3 linked regions of the Xenopus tropicalis genome follow. The protein of the gene in region 1 interacts with the protein of each later gene in a pairwise test. Links are inferred from orthologs where the notes say so. Each region holds a gene or a part of one and is shown on either strand. Other genes may lie near its edges.

Region 1 (4,168 bases):
GCCATACCAACAGCCAACACCACATAAGTTGGACACCAAAGAACAGGTTGGCAGATAAATGAAAACACTTAGTGCAGACAGTTTGCAATGTGTAGTTCAGCTACGGTAAGGCTAATTCCCGTTTGATAGTAGCAGTAATCTATGGATGCTTTAGGTAGCAAAGGGGGCAAAATAATATCCATAAAGCCTGGATTACACAGATGATTATATGCGTGTGACCTAATCTGCAGCTACTGAACATAAAGAAAAAATGCCAATGAGGAAACCAGTTTGTGCCAGCTATGAATATCTGTAGGCCACATACAGACCTGCAGCTGACACAGCACGTTTCAGTACATATAGCGGCGACTGCAATGTTCCAGCAGATTGTTAGTGTTCTGTCACAGCCAATATCAGTAAATCTGTTATACATTCCTATGGTTGATCTGTGGCTGCACCACACTGTAAACTGAGAGGCCATCTGCCTGGTGGTCAGTACTAACACAATACACCACATGTCAACCACTGTGTAACCACTCATTTGTGTATTCCTTGTGAGAGCCACACTACACACTAAAGATATGAGCGCCATGACCAACTGCAACAGTCACAGCTCATCACCAGGGTATACGAGGTCTAAAAGAATTTAGAGGAACGTCTTACCTTTGCATCCCAGTCTTTGTTCAGGTAATAAATGCAGGTGATACAACGTCCGTCTCCCGTTGGATTGTCCACATGGCGCACATATCCAGCACCGTTGCCAGGATAACATGCTACCATGGCCTGAGAAGTGAATAGGCACGGATTAACATTTCTCAGTAAATAGATATACAGCAGTGAATTGACATAAATACCAGTACATGGCAGCACATGCAATGCATTAGTATTGTCACAATTGCGACTTTTACTGAATTCATGTGGGCGGCTCAATAACAAATGCAGACCTAAATAAAGGGTATCAGTGTTCCCTAAAATGTTGTCATTCAGGAGTTGCTTGTGCAAAAACTATGTTTAACCCCCATCAGTGACAAAACGTTCACAGGGATAAATATCCATAGCTGGCTTTGACTTGTAAGTGACTGCCAACACCAGAGAGCTGTGGCACTGGAGGGGTTAATGCAAGATGTACGTGCAGACCATAAGGTAGTTGGGCACGCCCCTAACCCCACCCCAGTCCTGGTAAACAGGGCTCTAAGGCCTGCTGTCACACATTTCTCTAGGACCCTACAGCAAATGCTAAATTAAAGGGCCAAGTTGCATATCAAGAAATCATAAAATAAATTGGTTGAATGGGGTCAATAGGATGTTTCTCTATTTCCGTGCCCATACCTGACCACAGCTGTGATGGAATTCCACATGTCACCGACTCTTATATAAGGGTACATGGAACAAATGGAACGAATAAGACTTGGCAAGGGATGAGAAGAGAATAGGGGCCTGTGGTTTATTGTATTTTTTTTTTTTTTTTTTTATTAAAATGGAAATTTCAGTTTTTAGGACATGCAAGCAAGCTAATACGTGGCATATGCTGAAGGTGCAGGGTGGAGGCATACAAAGCCATATGTTTTGTGTAACTAAAGGTTAAAAAAACAGCTTAACACAGCCAGTAGGATTGGGTTCCATTTGGAGCACAGTCTGTTGGCGGAGGGGGGGATACAGCCAACTGATCACAATGTAAATTCTACCAGTAGATCCTCTTGTTGGGGGATTGAAACAGGTCCATGCATGGCTTCTCTGCATGTCTGAGTATCTCAGGTAGGTCATACCCCTACCTTAAGAGCATTCCAGCAACAGACGGAGCAGGAGGCTTTGTGCGCCCTTTTATTGAGATCTGCTACCTCTGATAAATTCAGGGGCAGGAGCCTTGAAATGTGGGATTTCTAAAATGTTGCAATGTGAAATAATCTACACTACTACCTGCTCAGTCGGTATGCTGGCCTTAGGCTTCACTGTTAGTCCCCAGCTTATAAAGGGGGGAAGCCTAAGACCAAACACAGGAAAAGATGCAGAGAGCCTCACCTTGGACCTTTCTTTCACATAGTATTGGCCAAGTCGGTTGCCACAGAGCATCACCAGTCGGTCAATAACTGACAAAACCAGTCCGATGGCCTCGCATCCTTCTTCTGTCCCGGCGACCCAAGCAATCTTGTCACCTCTCAGGTGTTTCTTGGAGACTCCTTGCAGGTGCCCGGCCAGCTGCCCATCCTTCAGCGCCCCGTCCTGGTACAATCGCCTGACTTTCTCCAGCACACGGTTCCCTATCTCCTCCCCTAGGAAGTTGTCCAAATAGCAGTATCCAGAGGCGAGCAAGCGAGGCACGACCCGCTCCAGCGCCAGCTTCTCCAGGTCCAGAGCTGGGCTGTGCATGAGGGGCATGTCCGAGAACACTACTGGGGGAGATCCTGGTGGCATAGGGGACTCAGGACCTCCAACAGGGACTTGCACAGCAAAACTGAGAAAAAGAGAGCAAAGTGAAATAAAAGGCACCTACAGCCAAGCTGGCAGCCCAGCAATGAGGGGCCACAGTGCCCAGATGCAGGGTGAGCAGCTCCACTCTATGAGGTGCCTATATGCTCGCATACAGTGGAAATACTCTGCCCCCTAGTAACTGGAAGGGCTCAGTCTTGTCCCTATGGGGGTATAAACAGGCAGCAGTGACTGGGCTGTACATAAGCAGCAGCAGCTTCACCCCCCCTATCCCACACACCTATAGTATAGCCCCGGCCGGCGGTGTGAGCACTCCGTGCGAGTATGAGAGTGAGGCACAGGAATATGTGTGTATATTTATATTGCCCAGTCCCTGCCCCCGCCGCTGCCGCTAATACCTCTCTCTCTCTACGTGCGGGATGAGTTGTTTCCACTCTCTGGGCGTGGCTTCCTATGCGGTTTCAAACCCCAGCAGTTCAGCCCTGCCGCTCTCTACCAATCACTGCCGTGCATGGGCGGGGCCCGCAGCGCACAGGGGGTGGGAATAGAAAACACGTGCGAGGTGGACACACGGAACTGAGAGCCGATTGGCTAGCTTTGCCTGGAGGCGGCTTCCGGTAGCTAGGAGACGGCGTTTTGAGGCGTGCCGCCCGCCATTGAGGAATCTGAGCTGAGCATGTAGCCTGTTACTGGAGAGTGCTGAGTGTAGTAAACACAGGAGGGGAGGGGGAGAGAAGTGGACGGGGGGCGAAGGAGGAAATGGAGAGGGTGGTGGAAAAAAAGGGAAGGCATGGGTATAAATATGTATGGTGTGGCAAGCGTCGGCAAAATAAGGTAGTGGGTTGTACGAGAGAGAGGGGCAACATGTAGTTTGTGGCTAAACTACAAGCGTCTATTTCAGCCGCCTGTCTGATGGGGGCTGATGGGATATGTAGTTAAACCACAATGTATGGGACTAGGAAGTAATTATGAAATATGCCAATTGCTAGATACTGTAGTTGGTGGGGTTGTTGGCACCTGGCTGGTAATGATATTTGATGCCAATGGTATTAAAAGAAAACAATATGTGAACATTGTTGATGAAATATATATGTTTATATATATCGAACCAAGGGAGGCACACCGCTTCAATCCTTGTCCCGGGTGTACGGTAAAAGAGTTTAAATATTGAGAAAAAGACCAGCAACACTGCATCTATTGCAAACAATCAATTATATATTGAAAAATACATGAAAATATATGTTTATATATTTATATAATATAATTGTAAGCATTGCCCCTGGGATCATGCTATTCACAGTGACACAAACAAGCCAAGGCACACATACACATTAGGCCCCATCAGCCAATGAATGGGCACAGTTCTGTCTTTTACTCCCAAACTTCTTCCTGTTACAGTTAACGCTGCATTGTTTCCTGTCAGGTGATATGTGAGACCGCAGACCATCACAAAATGGTGGGTCAAGGGAAAAGACCTAAAAGAGCAATATTCACTGATATACATATATATTTCAGTAAGGTAAGATTCTTTAATAGGCCACTTATGTGATATAAACTATCTGTTGGTTATGCTTTTATATTGGGGATGTAGTTTTCCTTTAATAAAGATGATGTCCATTTTTTTTCCAGAAAAAGTGACAAGCGTAAAAGTGGGCAAAATGGCATACAAAAAAAAGCTTGCATCCAGTATTCTAGTGGTGTGTGCCAATTTGCCCATTACACCTACTTTGGTGCAGCGTGCGCTGGTGCAAGGGATATCTAT
Region 2 (4,114 bases), on another chromosome or scaffold:
GGAAAATAGAAAAGAACCCCACTTAGTTCATTTTGAAAACCCAAGCTAATTTATACTGCACAAATAAAGAAATCCGACAAAAAAGTAACTACAAAATAATTTATTAAGTAGACATTCCACAACATTCTTAAGTGACCTATATACAACATACACACGCTCCAGCTTTGTTCCCTATTCAAGAACTTTTTGCTCGTTTGCTTTTGGCCTGTCGGACTTCAGCTATCAGATCTTTCAAATACTGGATCTCTTTTGTTAACGAATCTACTTTTTCTCTAAGGGTATCATTTTTTCCCTCTAGTTCTCTGCACTCTCCAGATATTAACTCTTGCTCTGCTCTTTTCTTCTGTCTGTAGCGAGTGGCTGCTGTTTTGTTCTGCTCCATTTTCTTTTTCTTCTTGTCTACTCTGGGCTGCCCTCCAGCTACTTTCACCTTCGCCATCACATCTCTATCCTTACAGGGAAGATCATAAGGTTTGGGTCTCTCAGAGACTGGGGACTCTAGGGAGGACTGAGGACTACTATAGCATTCTACAGTTGATGGACTCTGCTGAGGGGATTCCAAGTAGGAGGGGCTCATGCTGATTCCACTATCATTATCAGAGGAATCTTCCTTCTCACATTTAAGTATCTCTAGAGTATATGTTGCAGAGGACTTTTTCTCATCCTCTGCAACATCTACCTCACTACCTACATCCAAGATGAAGGAATGGTCTGGGCTAGAGGAGAGAGAGGCTGTCAAATCTGGGCTAAATGGGGCAACCTGATCAGCATCCAGTGGGGACTCTGGAAGAGAGACAGGTTCAGGTGATGGCACAAAGTGGCCAATCACTGCTGCATGAGGTGGGTCCTCTAGGAAATCACATGAGTCTTCCAACGTGGATGTTAGCTCATCTGGTGAGATAGTGGATTCCAGATCTTCCAACCCAAACAGGGAGTCTAAATCAAATTCCTTCAGATCCATCTTTTCCACCATCCAATCCATGCCGGAGAAGGCGTCCCCTAATAAAGAACAAAGAAGGCTCAGAAAGCAAAGCAACAAATTTCTATCATCTCATAAGCTAAGTTTTACAATCTTTCCACTTAAAATGCCCATTAGCCATTGAACAAATATTTTAACAAATCTATTCCAGTAATGTGGCTGCAAAGAGGTGCTTCAAGCAAAATACATGAATATTCTATTATACAGAAGAGAGACTGAACCCTTTGAAAGCCAGTTTACTTACCATGAAAACTGCCTAAAGATTCAACATAAGGCAGCAGGTCAGAGACGCCATCCTTAGCCTTGTCGCTGGAGAACCCTTGCGATAGGAGGTACCCGGGCACCTCAAATTCATCCTCCAAGAGACCCAAACTCTTTTCAGCCGCCAAAAACGACTGGTTGAAGGGGGACAGAAGGTCCCCCAACAGCATCTCGTCGCTTAACAAACTCATCTTTCTGTAGGATCACGAATTCGACTGGTGATGACAATTTTGAGCTTTCTTCCTCGTATACAGCAATGCTGCTGTGGGATGCCTGGAGAAGCCTGCATAATAAAAGCAAATATTAAGAACATTATTAAGAAAAACATGCTTGTTCTTCACAATGCTTCTTCACAAGAGCAGTATTATATTCTAGTCTTCTCTTCCCTCATGACCAAATATGGGCACCTTCCCTCCGGCCCCACCCACACCCGGTGATTCACAAAGCTGATCAGCAGCCATTTCACAAGTTAACCATCTGGTTTGTTCTCCACCCTGGTATGGATGCCATTTTAGCATCAAACCCCTTTAAATACAAATTGCTAAACCATCCAAACCATGTCCTAAACAAATGAAGTCACCTTCCTCACATAAGATCATTGTTGAATGCTACATTTTATTGTTAAGCACAACACTAACTGAAAATACATTACTAATTTTCAATGCCATCTGGAGCGCTGTTATGAGAGATTCCCCTATGCATACAAGGGAAACAGCTGTCTCTAGAGAGCAAGTCTAAATCTGCCTGGGGAGAGTCTCATTTCAAAGCACACCCATTAAGAATTCCCAAGCCACACAGGAGCTAGAAATACCACTAAAGGAGATCAAACCCACTGTGACATTGAAACATTTTAGAGAGTCCCCCATTCAACAAACTGATTAAGGCAATAGCTACAATTCCTAGTGGAATTCGTTTAACCCTATGGACACCACCCAGGTTACAAAAGCAGCAAGTTAATAGCTTCAATAATTTAAACCGTAAACACAAGATGCAAGTTCAGGAAATCTGCATTTGTAAGAAAACCCAAAGGTCCCTTTGTGGCCCTAATGAATGAGATGTATATACTGATAATTGTCACTCCAGCAGCCGCACAATATGGCTGATAGCTATTGTCTACCTGCTGTACATACATCGTACCCTAGGGGGCGCCAGAGTCGAGTCTGCCAAGGACAAGAGCCACATGGCAAGACACATAAGAACATTTACGTTCGATCTACCGCTACATTACCCCAGACATTCCTTCCTGCCCCGTTTTATATTAATACTCCTGCATTTCAAGCAATTTCCCACCCCCCACACACACACACTTAACACCTCGCCATGTAGTACATGACCCAGTAGGGATACTTACGCCATGGCTGTGCCGTTGCCTGGTGCTGCGGGCGCCGCTGGGAGCTGCTGCCTCGCTATGGCCGGGGGAGAGGGGAGCCGCAGGCCTGTGCTGCCGCTATAGCGCCATGGCTGTCCGCTGGTTATTGCGGCGCCGGACTGAAGAAATCACTGTTGGAACCTGCTACAGCAGAAGCGTCGCGTCCTCAAACCTTAGTATTTAGTTAACAAAAAAGACCCAGCGACAGCAAACTACGTTCCCTCTTTCATTCCAAGCTGCAGACTGACGTGGCGGGCGATTTACCGCCCCTTTATATAGACTCGTGGTTCCGCCCCGTGTATCCGTCCGCTCTGTAGTCTCTTCTTTTGTAGCGTCGCTCTGACATGTGATCTGACGGCAACGTGTGCCTCCGCTCCAGGAACTATACTGTGTAATGCAATTATAAATGGATCAATAGGGTTCTAACAGAATAAGATTCATCGCGGAATAAATGTGTGCGTGGTGTTTATTAGAGTAAACGAAGGCAATATTTTAGTTCATTGTTTGATACACTGTAGTGCTCTTGTACGAATTTCTGCGTACGCCAGGCCAGGGCAAGACCCAGACATTGTACTTCAAAGAGGACAATGTGTCAGTGTCACCGACGTAGAAAGTAGTGTCAGTCGCCCGATACAAATGAAAACCATTTCGGTCATTAGTATAATAATCCATGTTTGAGTGACTGGCGATAGACAGACGAACAGGCCTGATAGATTTTTATTATACGTTAAATATAACATTTTATCAACACCCCCTGCTTTGCCACAGTCTATGAAAGAGGCAAGGGGTAAATACCACCAATACGGATAATAAGCACTTGGGGCAAATATTATGGCGTTCCCCCGAAGTAACCAAGAAATAAAACTCCTGACACCACTTTTTCACTTTATTTATATTGGCTAATTAAGCATTATAGACATAAACGAAAAGGGCGCGCTAGTTTTAATTAATTCATTTGGTGTGTCACGCGTGTTCCTGGCATTGCCCCTCCCCACTGTTATGGAAACAAACCCACGTCCCACTCCCACATTATCCCCCCCCACTCTGCCCGCCCTGCCACCAAATGGTGAATCCGCCCAGAGACGCTTTCATATCACGAAGCCAACGCGTGTACAGCTGCCGTTGATTGGTTGGCCCAGGCAGCGCCCAATCCCTACACGCCGCGCTATTGGCTGAAAGCGAATGAGCCCTCTGAATCACGCAGTGGGCACGCAAAGCTGCTGCACCAGAGTGAGGCGGATGGGCGGGGCGCCGGCGCTGGAATGTGAGGAGAATCGCTGATGGGAACTTGGGAGCGTGTCCTGGCGCTGCCATATTTGTCTCTTCCTGCTCGTTTTGTAGCTTCGCTGAAGTAAAGTGTATACACTATAAAGAGCATCTGTTGTTGGAGCATTCCTGAGCCCACATGTTCGTTGTAAAGTCAGCCCCTGTAACATTACAAATTAAGTGGGAGCCATTTGGTGTTTTAAAGGAGTATGAAGTATGTTGTGACAGTTCTGGACTAT
Region 3 (4,194 bases), on another chromosome or scaffold:
ACCTCCTTCTCACTCATCACCTCCTCTCACTCTCACATCCAGGACTTCTCACACGCTGCACCCATCCTCTGGAACACTCTTCCCCGTCCCATTAGGCACCGCCAGACTCTCCAAGCCTTTAAACGGTCTCTTAAAACTCACCTTTTCACTTAAGCCTATAACCTAAACCCCCCAAACATTCAATAACCACTGGTTTTCACCTCTCACTCCGCACTGTCACTTTACACACCTACATAAACTCTAATGCCATGCTAGTTACCCTGACCTTATGTCTCAGCCCTCCCTTTTAGAATGTAAGCTCTTGCGAGCAGGGCCCTCCCCTTGGTGTCTCCGATCCTCATCCAATATAACCGCAAACCATTTTTGTGAATTGTTTATATGTACATGTTAACTGTTCTGTCTTTTGTACCCCTCTATTCTGTAAAGCGCAGCATAAATTGATGGCGCTATATAAATAATAATAATAATAACCCATTGCCTGTACACCAAAATAGCTGGAATGGGGGGATCATCTGTATACCCTAACAGCTCAAATGGAAAAAAATAACCTGTATAACTGAATGGTTTAACTGGAACCCATCACTTTTGCTTGTATACCCTTAAAATATGTATAATCAGAGCTGCCCCTGACATTCAGTCACTCCCACCAACCCCCACAGAGACTACTGACCCACATTAAATGGAACCCCTTCCTGCTCTCACCTTCCAGCCCACGCCAGCATTGCGATAATATGGGAAGTTGTCACAGATCCAGCGGTAAATCTCACTGAGGGTCATGCGTTTGGCTGGAGCAGAATTGATGGCGTACTGGATGAGGTTGGCGTAGCTGTAAGGGGGCTTCCCATCACGGTGCGCTGCAGCTTCCTCCTTGCTCAGCATGGCACTGGGGTCTGTGGGGGATCCTGGGCCCTTACGCCCTGCGTTGTTTTGTTGGGAGCCCTTCATGGCCGCCTGGATTGTGAGCTGTGGAAGCCAGTCTATGGAGGTGAGGCTGCTGCCCAGATCGGACGCCATCTTGGAACTGAAGGAGAGAATTTTGGGTCATTCATTTATGACTTCTAACTTGACCCCAATGTCTACAAACCCAGGCCCTGATCCACTGTCACTTGTGTTAGTATTTGTACCGTGTGCCAGTGCAGTGGTGCCAGGAAGGAGAAGGCCAAGCTTGGTAGTGCCCATTGTATAACTGCATGATTGCACTACGTGTCTGGGGCTATATATACAGTATATATATATTAATTGTATACGTCCTTTGTCTGTACTGCAGGCTTGATACAAACAGTTGCACCTATTGACTAATATACCAACTTGTATCTACACAATGTGGCTATCTCTGCCAGTCTACAGTCTGCATGCCTGTATGGTTGCTAGTCCGTTTGTCTGCCTGTCTGCCTGTCTGCATAATAGTCTAGAGGTCTTTTTACCAGTTTTGATGTCTGTATGCCATCCGGCTGTCTGTATGTTAAATGGACTACCCCAATCTTGGTGTTGGCAAAAAAATCCAGGTGTCTATTGCATCCTCAGAATAGCAGTCTAAGCGTCTGTAGGTCAGTTTGCGGTGGTCTTGTGATATAATCTGGTTGTCTACACGCCAGGCTGGGTGTCTGTCTGCCTAGCCATCTATGTATCAGTCTGGGTGTCTCTATGAGTGTGGGTTTCTGTAGGAGTCTATGGATGTCTGTGTAACAGGCTGGGTGTCTCTATGAGAGTGGGTTTCTGTAGGTGTCTATGGATGTCTATGTGACAGGCTGGGTGTCTCTATGTGTGTGGGTTTCTGTAGGAGTCTATGGATGTCTGTGTAACAGGCTGGGTGTCTCTATGAGAGTGGGTTTCTGTAGGTGTCTATGGATGTCTGTGTGACAGGCTGGGTGTCTCTATGTGTGTGGGTTTCTGTAGGTGTCTATAGATGTCTGTGTGACAGGCTGGGTGTCTCTATGAGTGTGGGTTTCTGTAGGTGTCTATGGATGTCTGTGTGACAGGCTGGGTGTCTCTATGTGTGTGGGTTTCTGTAGGTGTCTATAGATGTCTGTGTGACAGGCCTGGTGTCTCTATGAGTGTGGGTTTCTGTAGGTGTCTATGGATGTCTGTGTGACAGGCTGGGTGTCTCTATGTGTGTGGGTTTCTGTAGGTGTCTATGGATGTCTGTGTGACAGGCTGGGTGTCTCTATGAGTGTGGGTTTCTGTAGGTGTCTATGGATGTCTGTGTGACAGGCTGGGTGTCTCTATGTGTGTGGGTTTCTGTAGGAGTCTATGGATGTCTGTGTAACAGACTGGGTGCCTGTATATCAGTCTGGAAGTGTAATGTAAATATGACGGCGTGGGTGTCTTTGTGACAGTCTGGGTGTGTATGACAGCGTGGGTGTCTGTGTGACAGTCTGGGTGTGTATGACAGCGTGGGTGTCTGTGTGACAGTCTGGGTGTGTGTGACAGCGTCGGTGTCTGTGTGACAGTCTGGGTGTGTGTGACAGCGTGGGTGTCTGTGTGACAGTCTGGGTGTGTGACAATATTTGTGTCTGTGTGTTGCTATGACTGCAGGTGAGAGTGTGTGTGTGTGTGTGTGTAATTATGTGCCAGTGCAGTGGAGCTGTGTGTGTGTGTGTCTGTGCCTGCTCACACATCTGTCTGTCTGCATCTGTCACTTCCCCCCACCCCTCCCCTCCTCTCCGTCCTTTCTGCCCCTCTCCCCTTCCCTCTCTCCCAGTTGCCCTCTTGTCATTGCTCACATTTTGCACCTCCTCTCCCTTCTCTTCTCCGGGGTCGCCCCCTCTCCACGGCAAAGGCTGGGGAGGGGGGAACGACAGGATTTCTGGATGGGGGGGAATACACAGACAGCTAGAGGAGGAGGAACTTCTGCTTCCTGCAGGGTTGGGTTTTCTTCCGGGCCATAAGTGTGAAGGGGAGGGAGGACTGAGAGAGGGGAGGGAGACAGGTCTAGCACATCATGGAGACACAAATGCACTCAGTGCAGCCCTTCCAGCTGGATACCGCTTATTCACATGGTGTGGGGCCATAGGGCTACTCTGAGGGGAGGAGGCGGGGGGAAGATTGTAAGCTCTTTTGGGGAGAGCTTGTTTTTGTATGATTTCTTGTATGTTTAACGTATACACCCATTTATTGTACAGCGCTGTGAAATATGTTGCCATTTTATAAATACATCTTAATAATAATACAGACAGAGACCAGGAAGAAAGAGAGGAGAGAAGAGACAGGGAAAGGGGAGAGAGATACTGAGAACTGGAGAGGAGAGATGGCACAGAGAGAGAGAGACGGCACAGAGAGAGAGAGGCGGCACAGAGAGAGAGAGACGGCACAGAGAGAGAGAGACGCATTTGTGGGAAAAGAGAGACAGGAAAGGAGAGGGGAGAAAGGAGACAGAGGGCAGGGAGAGAGGGGTACGAGAGTCTGGAGAGAATACAGAGAAAAGGAAGAATGGATCAAGAGAGGGAAGAAGACACAGTTCTGGAAATGGGGGTGACATTGGGGAGATACAGACAGTTTTAGAGAGGTGAGAGAAGACACAGGACAAAGAGAAGGAGGGGACCACAGAAGAAAGGGTGGGGGTGATTTACTAATGAAGGCGCTAAACTGCACTAGCATAGGTCTAAAACCAATCAGATCAATGTTTTAATGCTTCACATGTAGTAGACTGGATAAAACAGATTGCTGATTGGTTGCTATTGGTAACTGCCCTGGTGTAGTTTTGTGAAACTAAGTCACAGCAGAGTAAGGCAGCCCAGAAAGGCACCGGGCAGGCTGGGCTGGCAAGTGGGCTGGTGGGAGAGCTAAGGCATACGAGGGGCTAACAGAGGAGAGCTAAGGCATACGAGGGGCTAACAGAGGAGAGCTAAGGCATACGAGGGGCTAACAGAGGAGAGCTAAGGCATACGAGGGGCTAACAGAGGAGAGCTAAGGCATACGAGGGGCTAACAGAGGAGAGCTAAGGCATACGAGGGCTAACAGAGGAGAGCTAGGGCAGACCAGGGGCTAACAGAGGAGAGCTAAGGCATACGAGGGGCTAACAGAGGAGAGCTAAGGCATACGAGGGGCTAACAGAGGAGAGCTAAGGCATACAAGGGCTAACAGAGGAGAGCTAAGGCATACGAGGGGCTAACAGAGGAGAGCTAAGGCATACAAGGGCTAACAGAGGAGAGCTAGGGCAGACCAGGGGCTAACAGAGGAGCGCTAGGGAAGACC

Evidence for each region.
Region 2: the proteins of egln3 (region 1) and atf4 interact in a two-hybrid assay, tested with the Homo sapiens proteins (2 studies listed by BioGRID). The link is inferred for Xenopus tropicalis from reciprocal best matches to the Homo sapiens genes EGLN3 and ATF4.
Region 3: the proteins of egln3 (region 1) and foxj2 interact in binary tests that used the Homo sapiens proteins (3 or more experiments, as listed by UniProt). The two-hybrid records come from large-scale screens. The link is inferred for Xenopus tropicalis from reciprocal best matches to the Homo sapiens genes EGLN3 and FOXJ2.

Annotation. Positions count from the first base shown.
Region 1 is NC_030684.2:113,846,435-113,850,602, forward strand, and holds the start of egln3 (egl nine homolog 3), read right to left. Parts: upstream 2,833-4,168; 5' UTR 2,392-2,832; coding exon 1,999-2,391; intron 763-1,998; coding exon 643-762; intron 1-642. UniProt on the Homo sapiens protein: Prolyl hydroxylase that mediates hydroxylation of proline residues in target proteins, such as PKM, TELO2, ATF4 and HIF1A. Target proteins are preferentially recognized via a LXXLAP motif.
Region 2 is NC_030680.2:121,049,463-121,053,576, reverse strand, and holds atf4 (cyclic AMP-dependent transcription factor ATF-4), read right to left. Parts: upstream 2,846-4,114; 5' UTR 2,592-2,845; intron 1,524-2,591; 5' UTR 1,411-1,523; coding exon 1,224-1,410; intron 1,000-1,223; coding exon 176-999; 3' UTR 86-175; downstream 1-85. UniProt on the Homo sapiens protein: Transcription factor that binds the cAMP response element (CRE) (consensus: 5'-GTGACGT[AC][AG]-3') and displays two biological functions, as regulator of metabolic and redox processes under normal cellular conditions, and as master transcription factor during integrated stress response (ISR).
Region 3 is NC_030683.2:9,117,766-9,121,959, forward strand, and holds the start of foxj2 (forkhead box protein J2), read right to left. Parts: upstream 2,808-4,194; 5' UTR 2,724-2,807; intron 2,025-2,723; exon of another isoform or gene 1,448-2,024; coding exon of another isoform or gene 1,425-1,447; intron 1,022-1,424; coding exon of another isoform or gene 1,015-1,021; coding exon 703-1,014; intron 1-702.